4 linked regions of the Schizosaccharomyces pombe genome follow. The gene in region 2 interacts genetically with the main gene of each other region. Each region holds a gene or a part of one and is shown on either strand. Other genes may lie near its edges.

Region 1 (7,495 bases), on a different chromosome or scaffold from region 2:
TTCAAAAGGATTCCATCGGTCATATATTTTATTTTTGTTTTTTCAGAAACGTTATGATCAAATTGAATGCTATATCCACACAAACTTCCAGGAGGAGAGTTCAGTTCCAAAGATACTCGTTCAGAGACGCTCTTTGCTACGAGTCTTCTGGGCTTTCAAATAAGTTAGGAGGATGATAAATAAACAAAGTTGTGACTAACCTGTGTACATCCTATAATACCGTTTTGGGACGCCCATCCAGCTTCGTATAAAAATTGAGGGATTTCTTCAAGATTATTTTTAGTTTAATAAACCATCTAATCAAAATACTTACGAGTTGTTTTACCACATCCTGTGTGGCCTAACACTATAGTAATCTGATTTTGCTCTACTGCATATAACAACTGGTTTCCTAAATGTAACGTCAGCAATGTAAGGGTAAAACAGCTACATACTGTATTTGGTGATTGGTAATAGCTTTTTCTGAATATTTAAGGGTGTATTTGTAAGAGTACTAAGCGATTGGGAAATAAACTCATTAGGCATACTCTTGCGTAGAGAGCATCAAGTAAGTGGAAGCACTTTCATGTTACCACAACTAGATTGAACGTATTGTAATATTTATAAAAAACAGTATTAACAAAATTCAAATAAAAAATTATTATTCAAAATAAATATACTACAATAATTATCACGCAATTTGAGTAAAATCTGGGAAACCTCGTAACATTGGTATCTGTTAAAAGAATGGCTGCATGCACGGCCTAACTTAGCAAAATGTTTTTTAATCTTATTTTTACTAAAACACTTAGTCTTGAGAATTTTCACGATTTCCCATAATCGTAACTTCCAACAACCACTGCTTTCTCCTCCAAACATTGATTAAAGATCCGTTTACTTTTATAACTTCGTTTATCCACCAGCACTTATTACCTGGCTGTCCCCATAGCTTCAAAATTTTACTCAAAAATTCTTCGCTTAATGAGGAGCTCTCGACTGTTGTTATGATATACGACATTAAGCTCATTAATTTTGGCTCCTTTACTCTCTTGGCCCATTTATCGTTGTAGCGAAATCCACAATGCTGTAATGCATCAACTAGCGGTCCATCACTCAGCCCTTTTCGGATTTTTTTTTTGTCTGCACTTTCAAAAACGTCGTTGTTCTTGAAAGTTTGCTCTAATAAGTCGCTCCTGATTTTTTGGTCGACGGGCTTTTTATTTTCAGAAAATAAATAGATATTGCAACATTCTGTTAAGAATAAAACGAGGGTAGTATTCGATATAGGATTAAATGCAATTTTTGAGGGATAAGCATTATTACTTTTTTTAAATAATGGTAGATAGGTGTCCAAAATCCATTTACAAATGGAAGGGTCGATTTTGTGGCATTTGAAACATGATGAGACATCACCTCCCTCATGTTTTAAAAGCAGATGAAACCCATTAGGAAATAGAAGTGCCAACACGGTAGTTGGTAATATTGGAAGTTCAACGCGATCAATGACTATTAGTTTGCCCCGGATGTTGAAATGTATTTTTTCTGGAAAAAACTTTAAATTACTTTCCAGTGTATTGGCTAAAGTGTCAACCGTATTGATTCGATCAATTGGAACTGACATTTTTGTGTTCTATTTTTGTAACGATTATGTTATAAAAGAATGTTCATTTTTTATTTACAAGATATCACCAATGCATACTTGGCTTTTGGTAAAAATGTTAGGTGCAAATTTCTAAAGGATCGCCAATAGCGGAAGCTATCGGAAAGGTCTTACAAAATCTTTTACGCGCAATAGTAAAAACAGGTAGAAAAAGCCATTCGTCGGTTAAGAGAGCTCTTTGGGCATTCTTTGTTACGTGTAAAACTTTTTATTGTATTTTTTTCCATTTCAATACCCAACTGGTATATCCAAAATTCAGTCCACTAAAGTATGTCGGATTCTAATAAAAATGCACTACCATCATAGATCAACAAAATATATATTTAATAGTGACAGAGGTAATATAAATATAAAGATAAATAAGTACACTTATATATGTAACAGTTACTCAAAGCATTACTTTTCTTTCTGCGAATGATTGATAAGCGACAGTCGATTAAACAAAGTTAGGGCAATTCATAAACCGGTTTTATTATATTATATATAAAATTTTTACAAAAATGCTAGCACGAATATATCCCAACCGATCCTATGCATATTCGTACGTCAAGCCTTGGAGAATTTGGTGAATAAACAACCCGAAAGATTCTCCCCGAATTATTGGTGGCAGAGTCGGTTTTCTTAATTAATGCTAATCTCGTACTGATGTTATTAGTCCAAACGAGACCAAGAGATGGTATTTTGGGATTTGGATCTGTGTCATCCCATCCCGAAAACCATTGCGATTGATAATCTAAACTAAACAACCCAATAGCATCATAATCTCTAGGAATTCTATCGCTAACTTGGTTAGCTATGACAACAGCAGCTTCATGTTGATGAGCTAAAGTGCGTAGAGTCATAGCTAACTTTCCCAATTGATTTCCACGTTTGGCAATATTATCTAAATCTCTAAAATGACTTTTGGATCGGTTGTAACGGAGCTCAGCTCTGTAGTTGGAGGCGACACTATCCAATATAACCAACCCAATTTTATCCCGATTGAATAAAATCGGCAGTTGATACTGAATGATATGTTCTTGAGATTCCAGATCTGGGCATAATATAGTATACACCCTATCTCCTGGATTTTTTATAATTATGTCTTTCTTATCAGCTTTGGGATACCTTTCTGGTAAATAACGCGCCAGTTCAAATAATCGTTTTGTTTCAAGACCGGACTCTGTAGAAATGAAGACAGCTGCTTTGTTCATTCCTCCTAAACTGAGAGGTAGTTGAACCATTAAACAAAGCTGCATACAAAACTGTGACTTCCCTGAACCGCTTTCACCACATATTTCAGTTAACTGTCCTACTGGTATACCTCCATGTAGAGTTTCATCCAACTTTACATCGCCAGTTGTCAAATATTTCGAAGTGACTTTGGAAGCAGAACATCTTACTGGTTGAAGAAGGAGGGATATCTGCTCAATTAACTGTAATAACTCACTTTGACTACAATGTGTGCGTCTTTCTAGCTCAGTAATATCCAGCGTTAACAAATCAACCGTGCTTACTTCTCCTAAAGCTGTCAGTAATTCCGTCTTTTAAGATCCCGGTACAAAAACCCAATATTTTTTTTTTATGTGCAAGCTTATTGAACTACTAAACGCTTACCTAATTCAAATGCTGAAGCAATTTTCTCATCAAAGTAGAAATTGTCAACATAATTCGAAATATCCATCCATATAGTAGAAAGAAAGAAGATTTTTAATTGTAAATATGATATGTATAGTTTTTACTCATAAAGATAAATGAAAATTATATCCACACCATAGAATATTCGAAAGTTGATAGTTTTATATAATGAACAGCTTTGTATCCTACGATTGAATTAAATTCTCACGATTATTTAGAAGTAATAGCACGAACTTCTAACCCACTTTTTCGCAGAAAGAAACGGTAATTTATGTACCACTATAGAAGTGGTGAGTCGAAGATGTTGTACGCGAATTACAACTGACCTGCCAATACCTCTATGTTTAGTAATTATAATCCTTATGAGAAGAAGCCCCGCAATCGACGAATATTTATATGAACATTGGTTTTTATAGAACATTAGCATAGTAACCGCTTACACTTATTTTTTTAACATCTTCAAACCATACATCTATGAAAAACCCCACGTAATGATACACATACTTGCCTAACCACCATTCCTTAATTGATAATTAAGTTATCAAGATATGTGAAATTATATAAGCAGCATATCCAAATGTGTATTGCTCATTAATTGTTAGGCATTAAAATTCGTAGTATGGTTGAGCAAACGAAGTATAAGAAATGATGTTTTACCAATCAACCGACGATAATTCGCTCAGTTTACCAGCTACCAACAAATTTCTTAGTTTATGAATGCTTGGTTCAACATGAAGTAATACTAAATAGAACTTTGTTGAGATTTCTCAATAACAGACAAAATATACATGATACATTTTTCATCTCATGAAACTTCAACTGTACAAAGAATTAGGTAATAGATAAATAACGTACCCTAACGCTCGCAGATTGCACTACGGAGGCAGCTGAAATTCGAAGCAAGGGCAACTGTTTAAAAATTGAGTATTGTAATTGCTTTTGTCAACAAATCAGAATTCTTTGATAAGTTATCTGGCTTTATTAAAAATTAAAAGTTGCTCAACATAGTATTCTTGTCGCCTCAAAAATAATGGGCTTATAGTATCCTAAAATATGCCTTAAATTTTGAATTTTGAATTTTTTTTTTTTCAGTTTAACTACGGATCACGATTACTTCTTGTTTTAAAATGTATGCCAATTCAAGAAAAAGAAGCAATGTCGATGTTCATCGGCACCCTTATGTAGTTTATGGCTCCCCTTTTGATCTTGAGCCGTCCAGAATTAATCAAGGAGTTCCTGTTTGGAAACAAGAAGCCAGGGATGAGCGTAATAGAAAGAGATTTCATGGTGCATTTACTGGTGGATTTTCTGCTGGCTATTTTAATACGGTTGGTTCAAAAGAGGGTTGGCAACCTAAATCTTGGAAAAGTTCAAGGAATGAAAACAAAAGTGTGCATGGAATGACTATTGACGATATTATGGACGAGGAAGATCGTGCTGACCAAGAGCTTAGTAAAGTTTATACTTCGAAAATAAATACGATTGATACATCTATACCAATTGATGATCCTCTACTTAGAGAATTCTCAAATAGGGACGATAGCATTGGCGAAAAAATGTTAAAAAATCTTGGATGGAACGGTCATGATTTTGTTATATCTCCATTTCAAGGGTATTATGATGACACTAAGTTAACCAACCAAGCTTATCACGGTATCGGGTATCAAGCGGACGATGTTTTTCAGCTGGAAAGAAAACCAGTTGGAATGGCAAAAAATCTGCGCGGTGGATTTGGATCAGGTGTTTTAAATGATGATGGGATAGAAGATCAAGATATATACGACCTCGGTGCTCCAAAAATGCGGTATGATAAATCTATCAACATTACAAAAAAAGTCGCTTCTCCATTTACACCCGTTAAGCATACCTTTCTGTCAAAAAAAGACAGAAGCAAAGGGAAAAGCATAATCAAATCGCAAAATTGCTCAGATGGTCTACCTCCCCTTCCAGGATTTGTAGTGGTATTTAATTTACAATCACCTTTTCAAAATAATTGGTTTCCTCCTCCTACAATACCTGAGGGTTGGGAGCCAAAACTTTTTACAAATTCTCAAGGATTTTCACAAAAAAAAGCCCAAACTTCAAATGAGCGCTTACCACTTTTTGCTGAGAAAAGTGAAACAAATTCCAACGGTGAAGCAAGTTTACCTAGTGATGTTAATCATGGTGTCAAGGAAGATGAGGGATCTTGGCAACTAATTGACATTGAGACAGCTAAAAATGCAATGTCTAGGAAAGATAATCCCTATAACGATGAGCGTGCCGGAATTTACGAGATTTTCCTTAAGGCGCACCTAATGAATATGCCACGATTACTCAGAGATATTGATTCTCGTCATTTACTAGAATTTACTCAAACAGCTTCACTATACCGACCTATGTCAAAAAATCTATCGATGCGTTTCGTAAGTTCTTTTGAAGCCTCGACTAAAAAAGAGTCGATTAATTCACATAGTGAAACTGATGATTCAATTTTGAGAAGACCTCGTACAGTTGTTACATTCATTCCCGAACGTCTTCTTTGTAAACGCTTTAATGTCGCCTTACCGTACGGTCAAGAAAAACAAAAGCGTAAAAATATTTCTTCTATTGAAAATGTACCTATTATTGCTGAAATTGAAAACAAAAGTATCGATTCAATTGATACAAGGAAGTTGAATCGACCCCAGGATATAGAAGAAAAACCAAAAGCTCCCCAAACTCTTTTCAGTGCAATATTTGGGGATGACTGAATAAAAAAATTATTAATTGATTTCTATTGTACTTTATTTTCATTAGGTTAATAGACTGTAATAAACTTTTTGTTTTAAGCAAAAACTTAGTACTTCCTATTTATTCAAGTGCCATGACACAATGTTTAATAATTTCATAAAAAAAAATAATAATTATCAAGATAGCTATTATACACATCAATTCTTTACTTCACTTTGTTTGCTTAATGTCGCGTAGATTAAACTCACAGTTACTTTTGCTACTTAAAAATTTTTAAACGTTAATGAAACGTGACCCTTTTCAAAATTTTTCATCAAGATAATTATCATCATAGTAATAATGGATGATTTTCTAAAGAAAGACTTAGGATGTCTTCGTTCTGGCGATTTGAAAAAATGTGGTGAATTAATTTGCGAAATCTGTCGAGATCTGTATACGTCGGGCTGGGTTACAGGAACTGGGTAATTACTAATTTGAATTTAATATAACTAATAAAAGAATCAGAGGAGGAATTACCATTCGCTCTGGGTACAAAGCATTATTAAAGCGTCAAATATTAACTTTCATGTAGAGATGCCATTGTAATCGCTCCCTCGGGTGTACAAAAGGAAAGGATGGAGTTACACCATCTTTTTGTCATGTCTTTAATGTATGATATTATTATTGTCATTGTTTTTATCATTTTGAGTAGATGCTAACCTCTTGCAGTACTCGAGAATATATGCGAATGCCAGCTCTTCGATTGAAACCTTCTCAGTGTACACCTTTGTTTTTAGCAGTATACACGTAAGTCAGCAAAGTTGTTGAACATTGAATTCTTTACTAAAGCAGTAGCTTGCGTGACGCATATGCATGTATCCATACCCATTCTCAGGAAGCCATTTTATTGTCTACTCTATTTGCGGATTCTGATCATTTTTCGGCAACAGGTTTTGAAGTACTATCGTATATTCCAAAAGGATCTAAAAATAATGGGTTTCATAAGCCAACAGATAAGATAAAAATTCCATGTATGAGTTTACAAACTTTTATAAAAGGCTGCTAACCGAATAGTTATCAATAATACTGCTCATGAGTCTGATCTTCATGATAGTTTGCAAGAAGCGATCAATTTGTACCCAGATACTTGTGCTGTAATTGTTAGAGATCACGGTATTTACTGCTGGGGCGATACGTGGCAAGATACCAAAATGAATACTGAAGCGGTAGAATTTTTATTCCAAGCTTATTTACGGAGAAGAAGGCTTCAAAAACCAGAATAGAAATTTTGTGACAGCTTGAAAGACATTGCGTTCTAAGGTAAAAGTTACTATATAACAAATAAATAAGCTTAAACTCACATAAGTTCCTACTAAAGTTTCGGATTATGATATTTTTTTCTTTAAGGTATTTAATCAGTAATTTCATGTACTTTGAAATAATGCATTCGACGTTTTCTTCATCCGCTTCCGTTTAAATTTCTCTTCATATTTTAAGTATTTGGTGACAGAGGAAGGCGAGCATTGTTGCAAAAGTCTACCCCGTCTA
Region 2 (8,979 bases):
CCATAAATGATCCAATATTTAACGTTTCAATGGAAAACCCCATCCTGACCCCATTAAGCAAAATGAACGCCAACCTGATGGAAGGCGTGCAACAGAGACAAAAACTCTGTTTGTCCACACTTAGAAGCTCGGGCATCTTGAAGATTGCATTGTTGTAAAACTCCGTCAATCAAAGATTTTACATCAAAGTCTTCCTCAACCATGCGTTCGTTTTGCGAACACCACGTGCGATAGTTATTTTCGACCATTTCGATAATTGAAGAGGTTTTAAAGCAAGCACCAATGGTTTTATTTTTCCTTAAAAACACAATCCGTAACAGACCATCCCATTCCTCAAAAGCCAATGGAGGGGGTGGATTTTTTGGTTCTATCCGAACAACACTTGATTCAACCAAAGGTGGTGGTCGAAAGTTATTCTTTCCAACTTTCATGATATGCTTGACGTGAGCCCACATTTGCACATTGGCGGATAATCGACAGTACAAAGGGTCACCAGGCCTTGCAACCAAGCGTAAAGCAAATTCTCTCTGGAACATAAGAATTGCCGCACGAGGAGCCGGTCTCTGCTGTAATAATTTAAATACCAATGGTGAGGAAATTTGATAAGGCGTATTAGACACGCATACATCAAAGTAAGGAAGGTCGGTCTTAATCACATCACCAAGTACCACCTGCAATTTCTTTTCCTTTGGTGTCCCTTGCACACGCTTGGTGATTTCTGCAGCCATTCGGGGGTCCATTTCAACAGCAATTACTTTACGCGCCTTCTCAAGCATCCTTACTGTCAAGTTACCAGTACCTGGTCCTACTTCCAAAACAGTATCGGATTGCTTCAAATCAGCCTATTTGTCTTATGTTAGAAAATAAACCTCGTTGAAAAATTATCGCAATTTTACCTACCTTATCCACAATTCCCTGAGCAACCAGTGGGTTTTTAAGGATATGCTGGCCAAAATCTTTGTTGAATTTGAAAACTGTATTCCTCACTTCTGCATCAGAAGCTGCATTGTTATTCCTAACCCGAATCTTTCCCATGGCTGTTCTCGTAACCAAAAGGATTTGGTACAGGGCAAAAACTAGTTTCGCAGGTTTGCAAACTGCTGCCGTTTAGTGAAGCAAATTCTTCTCAGTCGTAATCAAGTTAGCGAAGTAAGTTAATTTTTAAATGTTAACTACACAGTTTGGTATCGTTTTCAACGATATGTAGAAGTGCCGTAAGTTTTTCTTGTGACCTATCATATTGCAATACGCAGGCAATCTGAGTATAGGTATTGTATTATCTAGGTTTCAATGTTACCTATCACAAATATAGCTTATAATTGAACCTCGTTCCTCAGTTCAGTTGGAGCTCTATTTATAATATTTATAGACACTTGTCAACAAAAGGAATCTATTCATATAGACGGGTAGTCACCCGTGATTATCAACAAACGGATCTTAACTAGTATTCCAACATATGACATATAGTGACACGCAACGTAGTGTAGTATGCTGACACGCTAATAAAGGCAAACGACCTTCGGTACCTTAATTCTAATACAAACTGTTTATAACTGCGTTATATTGTTAGCAAAGCCACTTAACGAGAGTATCAAAAGTTTGTTTTTTGTTTATTTAGCGTTGCGTGGGAATTCAGATGATGGGAAGTAATTTCTTGCTTGCTAGTTTTTGAAATCATCTTTATGTATGTTTTAGGTATAAACACTTAATTGGGTCATCGACTCACTTAATAGGAATCTTTTAAAGCACAAATATAACTTGATCTTCTGTTTATTTACACGAAGGGTTATTTCCATGGCTTTCTGTGTGTAATACTACAACTACTTTTAACTCTAACATGGAAAGTGCAGCGACAGATTGATATGAGTTTACGTTTATAAGCGAAATAGTAACATAGCTCTATAATGAAAATGTCCACACGAATATACATATTATTAAATGATTATATATTAAAGGTTGTAATAGCAATAGTACATCAATCAATATGGCTAAAATAGATTTTAAAAGAAACAAATCAAATAGTTTCTACTGATCATGTACAGCAAACAATTGATTTTCAATAAATAGCATCGATCTTTTAAGCCGTTCAGATGTATTCGCAATATAGTTCTGCCAAGCGCCTGAAAGAACTCCAAAAAATATATCCCATACTGATTTCTCATTTGCTTCGACCAAAAGATTGTATCCTTCAGCAGGGGTTTCATAAAAAAAGCTAAACTTGTCAATCTGCCAGTCGACAAAAAGAGCAACTTTTCCAGGTTGCAGCTGATCTTCCGTTAAAATGCCACCAGCAAAACGAACAAGTCCGCACTCTAATGCGTATAATTTGGTTATAGTGTCATTAAGGATAAGGCGTTTTTTAGCTCGCGTAAGAGCAACATAAAGGATATTGATTTCCTCTTGCAAGTACCTCGAAGATCCAATTCGTGAAAAAGAAACACTATCAAATTTTGGTCGAAAATCATTACCCAATTGAACATTATCCCATTCAAGACCCTTAGATTGATGTGCTGTTGCCAAAATAATACCGTTGTCACCATCGTCTTTAGAGTCCATCAATCTTTTTTCACAATTGTCCAATCGGCTCAGAAAGCTTTCACTAAATAATTCGTCGGCCATATCATATACTAAAGCCAATTCGGCATCTTCTTCGGCTGAGTTTTTTACGTGCACTTCAAATTCTCCCCAAGAGGAAAAGTCTTTTAACTTTGGGTGCGAAGGGCGCTGCCCATGCGCTAGTTCTGAACCACTTCGCAAAAGTTGGAATGCTTTTTTCCTCATTGAGCCAAGAATAGCAATGGGTATCTCCTTAGGTAATGACACTGATAGCCGAATCGATTGTAGGATTAATTCTGTATACGTTAGCTTTTATCAATATAAACCATTGCAAACCTTTATTAGTGCGAAAAATAATCGTATGAGGAAAAAATCGAAACGCTCCACTAACATTGTTGGGATTACTTGCTGAAGACCAATACGCATGGTCATTTTGTACCCCTTTAAGCTTAACGTTCTCTCCCTTTAATGAAAGCAAAAAATTTGCATATTTTGCAACAGAGTTTCCAAACCGGAAACTCTTAGTAAGGCACAGTTGCTTTGTGGAAGGGTACAAATTTTCATTGAAAGCACATGCATTTGCACCACGAAAACCATAAATGCATTGGTGTGCATCCCCAACGATGACAATTCGGGCGTGTTTCTGACGATAAATAAGGTCGACCATACACGGAGTAAAATCTTGAGCCTCGTCAAAAAGAATGTAGTCATATTTTGAAAAAATATTAGGGAATTCATACAAATGTAATAATTTCATATATGCATCAGGTATGAGAGGAGCATGGGTATATTCAAAGTTTACAATAAGAGACCACAATTTTTTTGTATAAGCCAAAAGCTTCTCTTTAGAGAGTTTTGTAACTTCCAGGCTTCTTTTACTTATATGACGAAAACCAAGCTGCCAGTCAGTGGAGTGCATGAACCTATTTAATGTAAACATGATATGAGAAGCTACCAAGCTAGCGGATGGTGTACCCGGATTATTTTTCCGATTTGCCTTTGGAAATGCAACTTGCAAAGACAAAAGTGAAGCTATAGTAGAATTTGATAATTGCCGCTCAAGTTTAGCTTGCGGCAAATCGGCCTGTGCAAGTATAGCACCATAAGCAAGACCATGCATGGTGGAGCATTTGACATTAAATGGAAATCGTAATTCTGCGTCTTCTTTTGCGGCCTTGTTAAAAGCAACATATAAAATTTTATCTTTTGGACGAGACTTGGCAAATTCCAATAATGCTTTGGTTTTGCCAGTACCAGCGAATGCTTTAACTTTTAGAACCTCTCCTGGGTTTAATTGACATTCAACAATCATTTTTTGTTCAGAGGTAAGGCCCTTAGTGTTAGGTTCATCATAAGGGGATTCAATGACAGCTACAATGTTGTGAATCCTAGTACACGAAGTAATTAGTGTTTGTGAAAGTGGGTCACGATAATGTTCATAATCTGTGCGGACTACAGTAAAGATAGAGTCCAGAAAATAAGCAAATTCTATAGCGGACGTTGAAGATAGCATATAAAGCGTATTGAAAAAATACCACAAATCATCTTCAAATAGTATCCCTACGAACAAACTTAAAAGCAGATTGCTAGTAGTAGTCCTACTTTTTAGAGAAGATATAGCTTCTCGAGCTGCAGGGGAGAAAAAGCTTTGAACCTGCATGCATATTGAGCTTATCCATTCTAAAGGAACATCATCTATGTGAAAAAAAGATGCTTTAATAGAACTTCCAAGATGATCAACTGTATGAGTCTCACTGACAAGATGGTCAATAGCATGTCCAATTTGTTCCACTTTCATAGGACCCGGGGGAAGCCCACAAATATTTTTTATTTCATCTGATTTACTATAGTATTCTCTCTCAGCTGGTGTGGATGAAATTTGGGTGCCATTGACAAATCCATTCATCGCTGAGCTCGAAACACCAGCAGCATAAGAACCACGAAGCAATCGATTTCGACGAATTCGTAACTCATAATTTTTCTTTTTCCAAAAAAGGTCATTAGAAGAGTCTAAAATAGTTTGAAAGGATGGGAATACACGTATGAAACTTTGGATATCCTGAACAGAAAGAAACCTGCAGATCAATGGGATAATTTCAAGTGGCAGTCTATAAAATTTGCAGCTATGTAAATGTTGAGCACTCATATAACTAAGAATTTGCTGACTGGGTGCTTGACTGAAAAGAAAGAACAAATTGCATTAGAAGAATTGCTTGTTGGTTGGGTATGTGCAAATTTAAGAGTAGTAAAAATACCAGAACTAGTTTATGAATGAGCAACGAACATTAAAATAAATCCAATCTTTTAAAATAAAATACATTCCTTAACCTATATAATTATTTCTCTCCGAAGCATGCTGTCGTTACAGAAATACTTTAACCATCTGCAAATTGAAAGAATTCCCATAATTTCTTATGTAAAAGTAAGTTTCATTGAATAAATAATTAACTCAAAAAGACTCTATTACTTTTTGTGTTGAAAAAATCCTCTACTTTATTTTGTAAATTGTAATTTTTTATTAATTGATGTATCATTCTTATTCTCATGATTTAACTAATTATTTATATAATTATTTCTCATCAACGACCTCTTGGTTGGTTTTTATTATACTTTCTTTAGACACTATAAATGCCACGTTTAGCAATATCACTTTTGTTGATATTTTAATGGAAACCGGTTTCACCAAAAATAGAAGTTTAGACCAGACAACATGCGGTATTAAATTCGGCTTCGTCAACTAAATTTTTTTCTACACCTAGTCTATTTATTCATCAATGCTCTCAATTTATTAAATGAAACCGAATAGAAGGATAAATCCTCACAATTTTCTTTAATTGCGGAAAATACATTTTACGGTTGGTAATTTCTGGGCCGATAACAAAGAAAGAATTCACCAGTAGTCAATGATGTTGATCCTTAGCGAAATTCAGCAAGTCAAGCAAAATTGTTTATAGAAAGAAAAAATTAATTAAAATGTTGATGTCCAGGCTCGAATCAACACCTTTCTCAGCTATTTTTTGAACCTTGCTAATCGCCTAACTATAAATAAATTACTATTTATTAAGTAGTCAATAACCTCCACCAACTTCTGAATCTCAACTTTGGCAGATAATCCGTGAATCGGTTTTGGGAAAAAATATTTTGTACATTGATTTACATAACATTGGTATTTAATTTTTGTTCCCAGTCCTTCGAAGTATAAAAAATCTAATGCTCTCATCATAAACCATGAAATTACTGATATCTCTTCTATGGAGTATATTCTTTTCCATAGTTTATTCAGAAAAAACATTACTGGTAAAACAATCAGATTTCTTGCGTATCATTTGCTAACTGCGGCTTCTTGCTAGAATTTCAAGCATTATGAATTGTGCAATGGCATTTACTCGAAATCGGAATCTGGAGGGTCTTTAAATCCAGCAATTTATGGTATGTACATATCTTTTTTTACGCTTTTATTTAAAAAACTTACGACGTTAGTGAATTGGACTGAACCATGGGGTCAAGAAGATGAAGTTGAGGTTTTGATATTCAATTGGAAAGAAATCCGCAAGTTAGGTGCATTCCGTTCTGATGATCAATTCACTTACATTTGCGATTACGATGCGGTATACACGGATCACCTATGTGAAGCCGATCAACTGGGACTATATTTGTGGAACTCAACGTCAGCAAAATCCATTCGTTCTTATATAATTCCGACAAATGCTGACCCTCAAAACATTATATATGAAATCTCTCAGTCAGGTTATTATTGCATTTGGTCTCATTCGAAAAAAATGTTACCTTATCAAGCTCTTGTCAATTGGCAAAATGCGTATGGTGGGCTTCCCGCTTCTCAATTCCCTAGAATGCCTATATCTGGTGGAATCACAATCGCTTATAGTGTAATTCTTGCACTTTGGATGTTTTTCCGATTTCAATATAAACATTCGATTGTTACCGTTCAAAAGGCAATTATGTTCTTGCTAATCTTTTCGTGTGCTCAACAGGCTGTCACTTCTATTGTGTTGGATACAGAAAATTTGAGAAATCGGGGGAACTTCACATGGTTAGGAGAGACTCTGGTGTCAATTTTGTTTGCGTGTCAGTTAGTCTTGGACCTTGCGTTATTATTAATACTCTCTTGGGGATATACCCGTTATTCAACTAACATGCGTGATCGACTATTTACTGAAGCAAAAATTCCTTTAATAATTTGTTTCTTCGCTCTTTTTGTAGTTCGCTTCTTTGCAATTACCATTCAATCTATTCACCTCGGCCTTTGGTTTTGCTTTTTCTTCCTCACCGCTTGTATTTCAGCGCTATATATCTTGTTTGGTGCCTTTGTTGCGTTACCTTCAACTCTTCGCGCGTTGGTTGAACAACGGTACTATACGTTGCATAGCATCTATAAAATTTTCCGAATAATGGTATTGTGTGGTGTTGTTACCATTTTCTCATTTTCTCTAGTTGCATTGATATTTTGCTCAAACACTAATAATAACTCAACAAACAAACTCTGGAAAATACGCTGGTATTTCTTAGATGGATGGATTGATGGTGTGCATTTGACTTACTTAATTACATTATCTTCTTTATGGCGACCATCTCAGGAAAACCCCGATTTAGATCCTACAGGCCTTAGTTATCCGGTTTTAGATCCTCGTTTGGAAGAAGAGTTAGATTTATTAGAGGAAGATATCAGGGCGGATAAATCAAAATAGTTTTTTATGTTCAATTTCTTTCGTTGATGAGTTGATTTTATTTCAATTACTACTAATGTTAATAGTATGAATTAAATTATTTGATCCAATTCAGGTTACAATCACAAAAAATCACATAAATATTAAGGCTCGTAGGGACTTTTTGCCCTAAAGTTTGTTAATAGAATAGGAACATCAGATGCTAAAACAGCATCTTCAATACGAATTCCAATTTCGTCAGGTATGTAAATTCCAGGCTCAACAGTAAACACATTTCCCTTTTGTACAGGCGTACCTTTATTGGCAGGATTAAGGTAAGTTTGTTCATGCTCTTCTAATCCTAACCCGTGTCCCAATCTGTGTATAAAATACTCGCCATAACCAGCATCTTTAATTACTTTTCTGGCTGCTAGGTCAACTTCTGCACAACTTGTGTTCGATAAATGGGAAAGCATCTGGATGCCGGCCGTCTGGGCATCGTAAACCAAATTCCAAAGCTTCTCCATCCTCTCAGTCATCTTTTGGCCATGGGGAAGTACAGTTCGGGTGCAATCGCTATGATAGCCAAACAAAGTAGTACCAACATCCATCAAGACAAATTCGCTTTTTTTCAATCGACGATTCGATGGACCTCCATGTGGCATTGCTGCTCTTTCACCGAACAAAACTATCGGTGACTCTTGCACAGGCAATCCACCGTAAACAAAAAGCATGTTAATCACTTCCGCCAACTCTTTCTCCGTAATACCAGGTTTAATACACGGTTGGACAGATCGTATAGCTGCCACAGTTGCAATATTGACCCTTGACATAATATCTACCTCAGCTGGACTTTTTATTTCCCGTAAACTCGCAACACGGGGGGACACCCCAAATGTGGTAAATCCAGCATACTGTAAACCTTGTGCAATGAAATTTCGCACAGTACCATCTATCATTAACTTCAAAGGTCCTAACCGGTCATATAAAACTTGATAAGGGTTTTCGTCTTCATCCCAAGTGATGTATTTCGCATCAATGTTTTTGCCAACCAATTCTTTAGCACGTGGTAGCTCAAACTTAGGTACTAGAAAATATATTCTTGATGCCACGTCTCCTGGATAGGGTTCATCGTCTGAAAATATTATTCCCAAAAAAGGTCGCTCAGAAAGACCCCAGGAGCCAGTAGTGATATTTGCAAAATAATCCATTGAAACTGTAGGCTCCATAATTAGAGCATCCAACTTATCTTCACGAAGTGCAGCCGAAAGTCTCCGCCTACGATTGTTGAATTCTTCATGTTGTATTGAAATTGCTTCATTAATCATCGGTGGAACATAAATCATTGAGGGAACAGCGCATTGGTAAAGCCTTTGCACTGTATCTGGTTGTAACAGTGATAGGAATGATAATGCTAAAAGCGCAAAAATGAAGATGGAAATGCATGCGAAGAGACATTTCTTAAAATTTCTATTCAAAAAATCGGTACCTCGTTCAAAACTTGATTCAAAAGAAACCATTTTTGAGCAATTCTGCTGATTGAAGAGAGGTGGTGCTGAACTATATAGTATGTCAGATATTACTGACTATCAGATTACAGCATTGAGTTAACCGAAGATGCTACAATATCGTCGCTTTTGTATATATTTTTATTAAATTAAAAAGCTTTATTTCGTTTATTAGTTTTATAAAAAAAACCTATATGAGATTTGAAAATTTGGTGTATCAATTAGTTTCCTAACAAATGAAAAATTCCCCT
Region 3 (4,307 bases), on a different chromosome or scaffold from region 2:
CATTAAAGGGAAAGAGGAGTACCCCAATATACACATAGATTGAAAAATGCTAATGTTGGCCCCTAGTAATTTTATATTTAAAGAACAAACCGCTTCCCCAAACCATATGAGCGCGACAACGACTGTAAAAACAGATTCTCGTTCAATCTTGTCAGTAGACAAGGCAAGTGCTAAAGCAATTACGAGGGAAAAAATCAAAGGACCCCACAAGTCCCAGTCGCGTAGTACTTGAGCATTTTTGGGATACAAAACATAGACGAGTTTTTCACCAATAGCTCTAAATTCATTAAATAATGTAACACGAATGGGTTCGTCCAGAGAATCTCCTCCAGTGAATCTTGTTTCAACAATTGACTCTCCAGCAATGTTGTCCGGCTCTATCGCTCGAGACTCCACATCGAGGCTGGATCGAACAGGATCCATGCGAAGAAGATTTTCCATTTCATCCTGTTCTATTTCTGTGTTATGTTTTCCTATGTCTGTCATTTCTAAAATATAAGATGGTAATTGAGTATGGTTTTGGTTTGGTACTTCGCTGGTACATTTCTCTGTTAATTTTGTAGTAGCACACTACTATGCTGGTCCTCAAAACAGTAAGATACCACCACCATGAATCCTAAAGATACAATTAACTATCATTTCAGTGAATCTAATAAAAATTTAATTATGTTCCTAAAACTTACAATATATCCTCTTAAGAATTGATTTTTGATAAAAGTGTGCTAATAAATACATAAAGAAGAAAAAGAATATTGTATTAAGTAAAGCAACCGAAATCCCAGAAGTTCAATGAAGCTTGAACATGAAGTCCTACTTTAGTCAATGCAAATATTCAAAATAATAGTAAAAATTTCAAGAATTTAGCATTTTGCGTGCGTTTTAATGCAAGTGGATCCTTAGGCTTCTTTAGTATAAAAAAGAAAGAAAAAGAAAGAAATTCTTCTTACTTTAATACCATAGCAAACTTTTTATATTTAATTTTTTATTTGAATTTGTAACAAGACAAGCATTTTTGGGTAGTAGAGATAAATATAATCATATAGGTCTTTAAATGTAAAAAAGAACGAAAACTTCTATGAAAAACTTTTAGCGAATATTAATTTAAGTGAAACATTTTGTTCACCAATGTAACCCAATCACCCAAACATAATTAATGGCAATTACAAAAACCTGATAGTTTAATGCGAATAAACGTAATGAAGATTTAGCAGAGAGTTAATAAGTGTGATCAAATGGTTTTTGCTCTTTTTTAAGAGCATACTTGAAAGAAAAATATGAGATACAGAGTAAATCGTAAGGAAATTATCAAAAAAGCATCACATACATATCTATCCTTACAAACTCATCCCATAGAATTTGCAAAATAATAAATAAAAATGAAACGATACTAAAATAATTTAGACAGGTGCGATAATTTCCTTGGGATCACCAACACCATCAGAATTAATGGCAAATATGGCTTCGCTCTCAGGCAAACACGGACTATCGTAAATTTTACAAATGCGTTGCTCACCACGACCTTTCCGCAAAGAAAGTCGAGTGGTACTCGAATGGGCAAGAATATTACCACCAATTGGTTTTTTGGGATCAGGATTAAAGGAAATGCCATCCACTTGGGCGACCACCTGATTAGTAATGACAACAGCAATACCGAATTCATCTGCCAAGCGCTGTAGCGTCCGCATAAACCTTGCTAAATGCATTTGACGAGCAGAGAGCTCTCCACGACCAGAGAAATCTGTTCTATACAAGGCAGTACAACTATCGACAACTAACAATGAAAATCGGGATTCAGACATCATGTTTGCCGCTTGTTGGAGCAACTCTAGTTGATGGTCTGCATTGTAAGCACGAGCATATGCAACGTTATCCAAAACTTCCTCACCATTTAAGCCATATCGATCTGCAACAGCCAACAAACGAACAGGACGGAAAGTTCCTTCTGTATCGATATATAAGCATTTACCTTCACCACCACCCATATCGATAGGAAGCTGACAGGTTACCGCAAGTGTATGGCAGATTTGACTTTTACCGGTACGGAATTCACCAAATAATTCTGTAATGCTTCCAGTCTCAACGCCTCCTTGTAACAAAGTGTCTAGTTGTTTTGATCCAGTTGTAATCGTAATTAATTCACTTCTTCGAATATGGTACTCAGTGGCGGTGGTAAATCCCATAGGAACTAGTTTGCTTGCCTCGCCAAGTAACTTATCAGCCTTTGCTTCAGAAATTCCTTTAATCAAAAGTAGTTGTCGCTTAGGAGTATAAGCAATTGATTCCACCGTGTAGTATCCGGCTTCATGAATTTTTTTTATGTCGCTAGCAGTAATCCCATTGCCTTCCAACATTTGTAAGGGCATAGGACCGGCGGCGGCCTCATCTTCTTCATCTTGTACATTCACGTCGTATTCATAATTTGATTGTGCTTGTCCATTTTCATTATTATTCATATCTGCTGCACTAACTTGCATTTCCACCTCTGTATCTGCCATTATAACTTGTTAAGCACGAAATTATCACTATTCTGGAATTGAAAAGAGTTTTTTATATTATTAAAGAAAAGAAAGATTAGGTTTTTAAAAAATAAATCAAGGAAATAGTTTTGTTAGAGAAAGAATTGGTTTATGGCAAGAATTTTCTTGCTTAGTAGGGATTGTGAAGGAATTAAAACGCGTCCGACGCGTTTTCAATCAATTGTTACCTAGTACTAGCAAGGTAACACCTACTAAATAGACACACACATTAGGGTAGGGCTGTAAAAATAGTCACGAGATAGGGAACGAAACAAAACACAGTTTTTTAACACTTGCATTTACAACAAGAGAACAGCACTGGTCAAAATGTCTGCATCTGAACTTGCTACCAGTTATTCAGCTCTCATTTTGGCTGACGAGGGTATTGAAATCACCGTACGTTATATTTTACTAGAAAAGTTGTGAATGTACTTCTACCGATACTGGTAAAAGATCTTTTCCATAGCGTGTAGTCGTCTTATTCCTTCTTATTCGGTTTTTGTTAAATTAATTTATACTAATTGTTGCGTAGTCTGACAAGCTCTTGTCTTTAACCAAGGCTGCCAACGTCGATGTTGAACCCATTTGGGCTACCATTTTCGCTAAGGCTCTTGAGGGCAAGGACCTTAAGGAACTTTTATTAAACATTGGCTCTGGTGCTGGTGCTGCTCCTGTTGCTGGCGGTGCTGCTGCTCCCGCTGCCGCTGATGGCGAAGCTCCTGCTGAAGAGAAGGAGGAAGCCAAGGAAGAGGAGGAATCTGATGAAGATATGGGATTCGGTTTGTTTGACTAATTTCCCTAATCTGCTAGCATGAACTAGTTGATCCAACTCAAAAAATAACCATTTTTCTATATCTCACTTAATATCTTCTTGTGTTTTGAAATTAAAAATTTAGACCGAGTAATCTTTATGAAACCGCCTTTGATCTGCGCCAACTATTTGTATGGCCAATGTTGGTGATTTTCAGACATATGTGAAGTAATATTATCAGGTGTAAATTGATTCACAGTACGAACTGCATATTTTGATATTAAATTTTTCAAGTTAATCGGTAGGAGTGTTTTAGTACTAATATTTAATAATAAGCATTATAGCGCTATTTTGAAATTTTAATACATCTCGGCCTCGGAGTGTAGGAGTTTGTGGCCCTTTGTAATTAGGACCGTAGTTGGAAAATGAAGTGTAAGGTTTTTGGCTGATCTTTATACATTAAGCAGGTTTTTACAAGTTAGCGTTTGCAAAATGTAAGTATGAAAGGAGATATTATCATTTATTGTTCACAAATTTCTTGCTGAATGAATGAGTTCTTAGTTATTAGGCACTGTGTATGCGATGCTTTTATTAATTCTGGCTGAAGTATAAAATTATTTAGCTATCTCTTTAAAGTTGATATTACTTTTGGGATTGATTCCGAAAAATATTCGACACATCATTTGCCCATTTTTACTAACACCGTCCCAAGGAAGACGCGAGGGCTTCAGCTATCCTCTACCACATACAACATGAATCCATCATGTGTGGTTTATGGTAAGTTAAATTTTTGTTTAAAAGTAATTCTAATAAGTAGTGGGCAATATTCCTTATGAAATGGCTGAGGAACAGGTCATTGACATCTTTAAGCAAAGTGGACCTGTGAAATCCTTTCAGTTGGTCATTGACCCTGAATCAGGGCAACCAAAGGGATATGGGTTTTGTGAATATCACGATCCTGCTACTGCAGCGTCTGCAGTTCGAAACCTTAACAACTACGATGCTGGAACACGTAGATTGCGTGTAGATTTCCCAACCGC
Region 4 (9,515 bases), on a different chromosome or scaffold from region 2:
CTTGCATAGAAAGATTTATGAAAAAAAATTTACCGCTTGTAGCTTAGAGCGCTCTTTTTCCTGTAAAGAATCCACCAATAGTTTAAGCTCCTTAGTAAGAGATGCTTGATAGTTTCGAATATCAGAAGAAACTTCATTTAAACCTTCAGTCACCAGTTGAACAATTATGCCCATTTGCTCAAGTCCAATTTTTTTCTCTTGATTTGCATTGAGAGCACTACCTTTGTTAGACCTATTTTATTTATATATCTTTGAAAATACTTACTCCTCCAGTTCTTTGTATAACTGAGCTCTCGTTTCTTGAGCTCGCAATATTTTATTTACAGTTTCCTCCATATCTGGTAAATGATACATTAAGAGTTAATTGTCTCAGATATATAGTCCACCTTTGCAATCAAGTAAAACTGTTTGTAATTTTCCTTCGACATAACATACTTATAGTAATATGACTCTTATTATTTATAGTTATTGTTACAAAATATAGTCGTTATTAAGTAATTGAATCATATTCTAACACAGCGTATACTATAGCAAAAAAGATTCAGAAAAAACGTTTTCTATAATGAAAAGGATTGAATAATTAATTAATTAACTGTCCAATTTATCAGGTTTCCAATGTTTTGATTTACAAGTACAAACTTCAAGTGAATGACATTTAAGAGGTCTATTAGAAAAGAGCGTGTTAATAGACCTAATTCTTTTTGATGGAAAATATCTATTAAAACATATGTCTACGTCGTGTGTACCTACTGAAAAGCCTACTGTAATAACTAATCCATTTTGCTATTCACAATGTTCAAACAATCTTTGACAAGTTAATATACGTCTACACGTGACAACTTTATTAATATCCTATAGTTCAATACCATCAACTATTTCCCGAATAACATTTGAGATCCTACTAAATTGTGAATTGTTCAGTCTGGTCAAACATGGAGACATAATGTATAATTACAGATTAAATAGCAGCACTAAAAGAATCAGAAGTATAAGAGGTTTTTACCTTAAATAAATTGATTGAGAATTATAATTTTCTGTAGGCTATCTTCTCTGATTGCCTCTTTCTTACTTTGGTTAAGCAAGACAACCCCTCTGTACTTTCCATATAGAAGCTGCAAAACCAAGGTTTCCTCTCCTTTCTCATAGAATATCTAGGAGGATTGTCTGCAAATCTATGTAGAACATCTGTATCTCCTCGGCTTTGACATGGCTTTCTATGGTTTATACTGTTCATATCTGCACATTCACATTTGTTTATCGTATACTCAAATCAGACATCAGAAAGACTTCTTTATTTCAGTGAATCCTTCCTGATTTCATACTTCAGCCTTTGAAGGTATGACCCATGAATTTCAATGAGCTGGACAAGGCATTTCGAAGGAGCACTTACTGATAAATGTAAAAACATTAAGAAAATATTACTCAATTTAAGTTTAAATGAGCCTTAATCTAGCTATATTTGCTTTACCTTAACACATTCATTTCAGCAATTTCATTTTGACTTACGAAATGTATTAATAAGGACGATTTGTATTTTTTTCGAATATATACAGGGTTCAAAAATGCATTTAGTGCTATATTTTGACAAGAAGTATCGCCTATTTGACCATTCCTGTACAGTCCATTAGACCATGCACTAGCCATCTAGTCCGCGTTCCACAAAAACAAAACAACACCTCGATAAGGCTTTAAGAGGGTAGAACAACGTGTCACATTTTTTTGAAACTCGAAGTATCCGAGATTTAGCTATGAAAAGATGTCGTTCTGAACATGTTCCTAGTAGGTTACCAAGAAAGAAGTGTAAAAATCATTTGGATAGTAAGTGAAGAATTTAGCGATTTTTTACTAAGCTTCTAAGTGAGATCTTTTCTTAGTTTGTTTGCAAGCAAAAAAAGTAATGCCCATGATGCCTCTTCTATCGTTTTAAATGAAAAGGTTAATTTTGTTACTGACAATGACCATCTGCCTTCATCTACCGGTGTTTGCGAATTTTGTGATAACGTATTATATCTTTCTACATGTGATCGCTGCCAACGAAATATTTGTCGAAACTGTAGTACTCTAATGTAAGTTTATTATCTGTATCTATTTTCAAGCTGACATTATATGTAGGTATTTTAAAGAAAACACCGTAGCAAGGTGTTTAGATTGTCTATAAATATAATACGTGATTTTGTACAACATGATATGACTATAACATTCGTGAAACTCGTAGCCTTACACCCAATCGTTTTCTCGAACCAGCAGGACGGGCACTCGCGACCTTAGTATTTGATTGATTAAGGTCAGTATGTTGCACAACATCTTGGTGACCTTCCCTCAACGTTCTATTTATTACCTGATCTTTCGTAGAAGGACCTCTACCAAGATTTTGTCTGACGCTGCTCATGAAAGAAGCGTTTGTCGTTGAGGCTCTTGTCGATACAATACGATTGACAGTTTCAAAACTTCGATCATTTAAATCTTTATTTGCAACCATTATGCTTGCGGACCTTGACGGCTCAGAAATCTCTACATCTGAATCGATTGGTTGTTTTTTCTCAAACCAACTTCGTATATCGGTTTTCGATCTCTTGGCATTATGTTTTCTAAAATTTGTTTCATCTTTATTATAGTCATTGACACTTTTGACTCGTTCTCTCTTTTTCAATTCTGCCTCAGCTAGAACACGACAGCATTGGAAGCCCAAGTTTTCGAATTTAGTTCCGTTATGATTTGCATTTGAACCAATACCGCTTAAATTAGTTATTTTCCCATAAGATTTCCGACCCAATATGGTTCCAATTTCAGAAGCAATCTTTTCATTAAAAACTATTTCACTTTCCATCACCCATCTTTTCATTTCTTCTCCTTTTAAAAATGGACTGACGTCCTGTACATTGTCTGAGTTCTGCATATCTGCAAACATTCCAGTGACGCTTTTAAAGGAAGATAGATACAGTAGCGCCTGTGCACGTGTGGCACCGACATATAGCAGCCTTCTTTCCTCGTCGAGGTCGTCTGAACGAGAATGAGGGATAATATTTTCACAAAGACAAGGTAAAAATACAACAGGCCACTCTAAACCCTTAGCTGCGTGAAGGGTTGAAATGGTAACCTTCTGAGATTCGCCCTCTTTCTGTTCTTCATTCACAAGAGCGATTTGAGTCAAAAAATTCTGCAATAGAACAATTGTTGATATTTTGTAATCTAATTCATAGAATATACAAGATATGTTATCGCTTTGTTGTACAAGCTCCATTACATTTTCCCATTTTTCTTCGACAGTTTCTTTATTTTTCCGAACCAGGTATTCGTAATATTTAATCTCAGAAAGTATTCCCAAAAGTAAATCACTAAGAGTTGCTGAGTGCCCATTAGACAAGTAACGATTTTCAAGTTTGGAGATTGAACAAAGAAAAGACTTTAAAGACTTTAGAAAACTCTTGTCATTTCTTTGAGAAAGTAAAATATTTTCATTCTTTACTTCATTTAAAGTTTGCCAAAAGGTCAATCCTCTTCTTTCACTTTCGAAAATAATACGGTCGATTTTTGTTTTGCCAATATTTCTAGGAGGGACATTGATGACACGAATTAAAGAAGTCGAATCTTTGTTAGCTAGGACTCTCAAGTAAGCTATTAAGTCTCGAATCTCTTCTCTATCAAAAAACTTGTTAACTCCAACCATGCGGTAGGGCACACCAAGTTCGGAAAGTGCATGTTCTAAACTTCTTGTAAGGCTGGAGGACCTTACAAGGATTGCGATATCGTTATAAAATATAAGCTCTGGACAAGAACCTACTATACGTTTAATTTCTCTAAAGAATCGTTAGTAAACTTTCATGCAATGAAGCCATACGAACCTTGCGATCCAGTAAGATTCTTTATTGTTAGTTTCAAACAATCGGTAATGAGGCTTTAAGGAAGAGATGTGATTACTTTTGAGCCCCTTCTTAGGCCTGCTTTTGTCCTGTGAAATGATAGACAGTGCTAATTCAAGTATAGGTTTAGCTGAACGGTAATTTCTTTCCAAATGAAGCACTTGGGTACCTTCAAAGTCTTCAGACATTTGGTTTAAGTTCCTAATTTCAGCACTTCGAAATCCATAGATTGATTGATCGGGATCGCCAACAATCGTGATATCTGAATTTTGCAATGCCAAAAGCTTAACAAGAAAATATTGGATTTTGCTAGTATCTTGAAATTCATCGATTAAAATATGTTTTATATTCCTCACACAATCTGGTTGCTTTTGAAGTAATAAAATAAAGTTTAAAAGCAAATCATCAAAATCCTAAATAGTTAGATATATACATACAACTTTATGCTTGTTACGTACCGCTAAATTGTTCTTCCATAAGGAAGTTTGATAAAGTCTATACAATTCAACAGATTGATGGCTTTGAAGCTCTTTAGGTGGTTCTTCCAGACCATTAATCAAACTCAACTGATCCATTCCAGGTTTAACAAGAAGACCGTTGGACTTTAATTTAGTTATGCGATTTAGAGCATTCTGAGGAGTCAATTCTTGTCCTCTAATACCAGAAGCAATCGGATTTTTAGCTTTCTTGAGAGAGTCTAAAAGTCGCTTCATAATAGCTTGACTAAATAGATCAGCAATGGTTGAAAGTGGAGAAGTAAAAGTTAGAAAAGTGTAAACAAGACATACGTATCATTTCTGTCAGCAATCAACCAATTTGAGGATAGCCCTATATGCTTGCCATATTTAACCAAATACTTGTACGCTATAGAATGAAACGTCCCAGAAATAAGCTTAGAGGCTTCACTATTCCCCAAAATAGCTTCAATTCTGAGCTTTATTTCATTTGCGGCTTTGTTCGTAAAGGTGGCTATAATTAAATCTTCGGCTGCAATATGGTTCTTTTGAAGTAAATAGGCTACTCGAGCGGTAAGAACACGGGTTTTTCCAGACCCAGGACCGGCTAAAATTTGAGTATACTTATGAGGACTCTGAACACTAATCCTTTGTTCTTCATTCAGAAACTTCAAGTATGATGATTTCGTTTCCATAATTGAGAAGAACAAAACACTCAACCGACAGCTTCAAATGTATATTTTAAAAAAGTGAGAAATAGGAAAACAATGCAAAGATTTTTGGCCAAACACGGTCTTTTCCGATGAGTTGTCGGGTAATAAATATTAAATTGTGAAACGATGACACGTCAAACTAAGAAAATTAACAAATACTTATTATTTTAACGAAAGCATAGCATAGGTGAAATAATTTAGAAGATCAACCCTTATTTAGTTGAAAACAACACTTGCAATTTCTTAGTATTCTCGATTGACCTACCAGCGCGAAAGGGCTGATACACGGATACGAAAAAGATTTTAATCCACCTGTTTTTACTACAAGAAATTTGAGTAAATCGTGAACGTATAACAAATGAAAGCCTTTCAATTCAGTATTCTTAAGTAATGATTTTATTGTGTGAAAACCTGATTTTGCGATTGTCTTAGTCTTGTGTTTCGACCTCCCAAAAGTGGTGTTAGTGCAGCAAAACGCAAATGATGAAGGCAAGAAAGCAAGATATATGTAACAGTGTGTTGTTCAGAAAATAATACCCATTGTCAAACGAACATCACAAACCGAATTACAATTTGAACGTATCAATATTATTCTTCAATTTATCTCATGTCACAAGCCATTCGTGAAGCAACTCATGCAGGATCTTGGTATTTGGATGATACAGAATTACTAACTAAGCAATTAAAATCATTTATCAAAAACCCAACGCCCGAGACTGGGAAACGGTTTGTCATTTCACCGTACGTATAGACAACTTATAATTTATGTGATATTCAGTATATAGCTAAATATTGAGCAGACATGCTGGTTACATGTATAGTGGGAAAGTCGCATCCCAAGGATTTCAGCAATTGGACTTTTCGAAAATTCAGAGAGTTTTTGTTTTTGGGCCTTCTCATCACATCTTTACTAGAAAATGCCTAGTCAGTCGAGCTAGCATCTGCTCAACACCTTTAGGTGATTTGAAAGTGGATGAAGACTGTATGTGAAAACAGTTTTGCTTAGTAGTTTTACTAAATTGCTACTGTCTATTTCTCAGCACAGATTATTTGCTAACTGGAAATTTATATAGTATGTCAGAAACTCGTCGCTAGCGATAACAGCTTCGACTCAATGACCTTGGATGTGGATGAAAGTGAACATAGCCTCGAAATGCAATTCCCTCTTTTAGCTTTTCATTTGCTGAAACAAGGATGCTTGGGAAAAGTCAAAATTGTTCCTATCATGATAGGTGCCTTAACTTCAACCACAATGATGGCAGCAGCGAAATTTCTGAGTCAGTATATTAAAGATGAATCAAATTCATTTGTTATATCTTCCGATTTTTGTCATTGGGGAAGAAGATTTGGATATACCCTTTATTTGAACGATACGAATCAATTAGAGGATGCAGTCTTAAAATACAAAAGACGAGGTGGCCCCACTAGTCCCAAAATTTATGAGTCTATATCTAATTTGGATCATATTGGTATGAAAATTATTGAAACGAAAAGTAGTGATGACTTTTCAGAGTATTTGAAAACCACTCAAAACACCATATGCGGCCGTTACCCTATAGAACTCATTATGAAATCTATGGAATGCGCCAATTTCTCTGAAAGATTCAAGTTTATTTCGTACGCTCAAAGTAGCCATGTTGAATTGGTCACCGATAGCAGCGTTAGCTATGCAACCGCAACCGCATAGTATTGTTGATATTTTATTATTATTTTTTTCATGACTTGAAACGGCTGATGCGAAACGATCATATATTTAAGTATTTGAGAGCCGAAAATTATCGGAACATGTATTATGCAACCTGTGTTTGTTAGTTATTATCATCAGATTCATACTCAGGAGGCTAATTTTGCAATGCTTTTTCTGATCTAGGCAAATTACGATAAATGAAATGCGCTTTATTTCTCAATTGCAACATTTACGAAACATACCCTTTTCCATTTATATAATTTTTTTGTTTTCTGTATGTATCAATTGGTCTCTCTTGAGAATTAATCAATTTTTAAATCTTTCTACTATGTATAAAACTACTGTTTTTGATATTCTGAACAAATTTCTTTTACACGATTAGTAACGAAAACATTATTATATTATCAAAGTCAATTCATGCATGTGCATAACCTTCTAAACTAGTATGCTTTCCAGCTTTGCTTGAAAATTATACAGCCTCAACGAGTTCAAGACAAAATTTCAATACAAAAATTTCATGTTTAACAATAAATTAACACAAAAACAAACAAAAAAAAAATGAATAAAAGGAAGCCTACAGCACCCCGGATTCCCATGTTGTCTCCAACCATAGTACTAACGAGGCCCTCAGACGCTTAACTGCAGTGATCGGACGGGAACTGGTGTTTTCGCCTAGGTATGGCCGTAGACATTTGTTGTATAAATTACTTTTATTTAAACGTTTAAGAAGTACCGTATAGTGTCTACCGGCAGAGTATTTTCTCAGCCCTGAGATTACTGATTCTCAAGATAGTATACAAAGAATTAATATTCATCAATTAAGTTAGAAAAATTTCAACCTAGTTATTAATACTTAAAACTAACCATATCTTTGGTTAAGAATTTTATATACGGAACCCATCTGATAGAGCGTATGAGTTAGCTATATACGTCGGACAACAAGCATTAGCAAATTCATTAGCTCCTAATATCATTACATGTCCATGAAGGATATTTACAGCTAAATATTTGAATTAGTATGCACGATTTTTACGAGTTAACAGAGGGATTCTACCTGCTAGTGTTAGTGAAATTGATGGTATTTACTCCGAAAGCCTTTACAGCATTCAACTTTATACCAATCTTTTAGTAAACGTGTTTATCTACTTCCTGTTACTTGACTATCTTTAAAAAACATTAAGCAATATTTTAGCCAATGTTATAATAGTTGGATTTACTTGTTATTATGAAAATGAGACAGATTTAGTTGGTAATGGTAGTCGTAATATAATGTAAACTCTCGTGAGAGCTTTGTGTATGGTATTGTTGCACTAAACTACTACAATGCAATTGGCGATTTTATAATTAAATATGTTTGACGGCAGTTCATTAGTTTCTAAGTACCCTCCCTTCATTCTTCAGTTATGAATCAACGAACGTCTTATGAAAGAAAATCCTTGACTGTTTATTCTCATTACAGATATTTACTAAATAGTGAAACGAAATGAACAGTAGGAGAAACATCAAAAGACAATGTTAAAAAGGATACTTTTCAAAAAATCACTGCGTAAACGTTAGTTTTCCTTAATTACTTTATCGCAGTCGAAGGGTTTTTAATTTACTCCACATTTATCATCCCATATACTTCACTACCTAATTAGCGAAAGCGAAGTACACTGTACAGTATTGCTCTTATATAATTATGTCATATGCACGTATTTCCAAATCGTGCGGTGCTCCTTAAAATACACCCCAAAGCGATTCAATAACATACAATAAACAACATTTCAATTACCTTGATCTCTAAACGTTCGTTAGTATAAGAAATTTGTAAAATTGGAAAACTATTCCTTTTAAGGAACTGATTAACTCTATTTTAATTAACGGTTCTTGTTCCGCCAGTTGACTAAATCAATTTACAACGGCAATTGCTTTGCGATTTTTTGTTTCAGATTGAAAAGCTGAAAGCCAATTCTTGTTTCATTAAACTTTTGAGAGCTGAAAACAATTGATTCATTCGTTCCGCCGCTTTGATTTTATTTCTATACGTGTTCGAATTGTTAACGGAAAGCATCATCACTGATACGGTTTTCTTTTATTAGGATTGAAAACTTTTATCGGGTTTTTAAACAAAAAGAGGGGTTTCTTCATTTACCGGGAAGCACAACTGTTCGTTTCGTCTCCATAAGAAGTATTTATCTTACGGAAGAACATTTCATTAAAACTATAATAAATACAATCCTGTCAACACAGGAATAGTCCCAACTGTTCTTTCTTTTTAAAGAATTACTCTTTTAGCTCATTTCATTCCATATCCTACTCGAAATTTACACCTCTCTCTTTGGCATTACATATCTTCAAGACATAGGAACTTTTCCTTAACCTTGACTTTCTCTCAGTACAAATATTCTTTTCTTCTATCTTAAACCCCAATTTCACTTCTTCAATAGGTTTGAGAGTTTTAGTTGATTAATTGTATTTATACTTAACTCTTAAATAAAATGCCTCCTAACGCCAGAGTTTCTTATGGCGCTGAAAAATACTTGCCTAGGGAAATTGATAATCATGGAATCGTTGGAAACATGCACACATCAGCCATGATATCTCTAGATGGATCGGTAGAGATGATGTGTTGGCCAAATTTTGACTCACCTTCTATTTTCGCTCGAATTTTAGATGCGCGTGCCGGACATTTTTCAATTACACCGATTGAACAAACTAGTTGCAAGCAAATGTATGAGCCTTCCACCAATATTCTACATACAAAGTTTTATTCAGAGAGAGGTGTCCTTCGTTTACTTGATTTTTTTCACCGACCATG

Evidence for each region.
Region 1: of fbh1 (region 2) and rad57, a mutation in one rescues a mutant of the other (synthetic rescue), as found in Schizosaccharomyces pombe (4 studies listed by BioGRID, with this or other methods).
Region 3: of fbh1 (region 2) and rad51, a mutation in one rescues a mutant of the other (synthetic rescue), as found in Schizosaccharomyces pombe (6 studies listed by BioGRID, with this or other methods).
Region 4: mutations in fbh1 (region 2) and srs2 impair growth when combined (synthetic growth defect), as found in Schizosaccharomyces pombe (4 studies listed by BioGRID, with this or other methods).

Annotation. Positions count from the first base shown.
Region 1 is NC_003424.3:2,119,097-2,126,591, reverse strand, and holds rad57 (DNA recombination mediator, RecA family ATPase Rad57/Rhp57), read right to left. Parts: upstream 3,563-7,495; 5' UTR 3,303-3,562; coding exon 3,236-3,302; exon of another isoform or gene 3,141-3,235; coding exon 2,143-3,140; 3' UTR 2,086-2,142; downstream 1-2,085. Other genes in the region: gih35 (ATP-dependent RNA helicase), read right to left, coding at 1-152, 201-265, 314-391, 435-525; whi2 (phosphatase activator), read right to left, coding at 788-1,600; gpl1 (Gpl1-Gih35-Wdr83 complex RNA-binding subunit), read left to right, coding at 4,384-5,988; mde1 (5'-methylthioribulose-1-phosphate dehydratase), read left to right, coding at 6,308-6,429, 6,473-6,496, 6,540-6,617, 6,677-6,754, 6,803-6,978, 7,022-7,230; ATP-dependent 3'-5'-directionality DNA helicase fml2, read right to left, coding at 7,372-7,495. UniProt on the Schizosaccharomyces pombe protein: Involved in recombination DNA repair and in the repair of gamma-ray-induced damage.
Region 2 is NC_003423.3:2,729,019-2,737,997, reverse strand, and holds fbh1 (DNA helicase I, ubiquitin ligase F-box adaptor Fbh1), read right to left. Parts: upstream 4,789-8,979; 5' UTR 4,703-4,788; coding exon 2,893-4,702; exon of another isoform or gene 2,853-2,892; coding exon 2,026-2,852; 3' UTR 1,914-2,025; downstream 1-1,913. Other genes in the region: cdh1 (SSU rRNA dimethylase), read right to left, coding at 54-842, 901-1,035; SPOM_SPBC336.16 (uncharacterized protein), read left to right, coding at 5,082-5,297; SPOM_SPBC18A7.02C (seven transmembrane receptor-like protein), read left to right, coding at 5,785-5,853, 5,907-5,985, 6,037-7,262; xpa1 (X-Pro dipeptidase), read right to left, coding at 7,385-8,740. UniProt on the Schizosaccharomyces pombe protein: Involved in ATP-dependent DNA-unwinding in a 3' to 5' direction, and ATP-ase activities stimulated by the single-stranded DNA-binding protein ssb1.
Region 3 is NC_003424.3:2,697,610-2,701,916, forward strand, and holds rad51 (RecA family recombinase Rad51/Rhp51), read right to left. Parts: upstream 2,661-4,307; 5' UTR 2,496-2,660; coding exon 1,398-2,495; 3' UTR 501-1,397; downstream 1-500. Other genes in the region: SPOM_SPAC644.13C (Rab GTPase-binding protein), read right to left, coding at 1-486; rpp101 (ribosomal protein P1), read left to right, coding at 2,844-2,912, 3,049-3,309; rna15 (RNA-binding protein), read left to right, coding at 4,020-4,044, 4,085-4,307. UniProt on the Schizosaccharomyces pombe protein: Required both for recombination and for the repair of DNA damage caused by X-rays. Binds to single and double-stranded DNA, in the presence of magnesium, and exhibits DNA-dependent ATPase activity.
Region 4 is NC_003424.3:3,828,270-3,837,784, reverse strand, and holds srs2 (UvrD subfamily ATP-dependent DNA helicase), read right to left. Parts: upstream 5,507-9,515; 5' UTR 5,011-5,506; coding exon 4,649-5,010; intron 4,584-4,648; coding exon 4,319-4,583; intron 4,299-4,318; exon of another isoform or gene 4,274-4,298; coding exon 3,843-4,273; exon of another isoform or gene 3,798-3,842; coding exon 2,192-3,797; 3' UTR 2,159-2,191; coding exon of another isoform or gene 2,113-2,158; 3' UTR 2,067-2,112; downstream 1-2,066. Other genes in the region: SPOM_SPAC4H3.06 (uncharacterized protein), read right to left, coding at 34-217, 266-336; SPOM_SPAC4H3.16 (uncharacterized protein), read left to right, coding at 1,749-1,818, 1,859-2,066, 2,113-2,158; SPOM_SPAC4H3.04C (uncharacterized protein), read left to right, coding at 5,636-5,769, 5,829-6,010, 6,102-6,715; SPOM_SPAC4H3.03C (glucan 1,4-alpha-glucosidase), read left to right, coding at 9,196-9,515. UniProt on the Schizosaccharomyces pombe protein: ATP-dependent DNA helicase involved in DNA repair at least for UV-induced lesions. Also aids the recombinational repair of camptothecin-induced collapsed replication forks.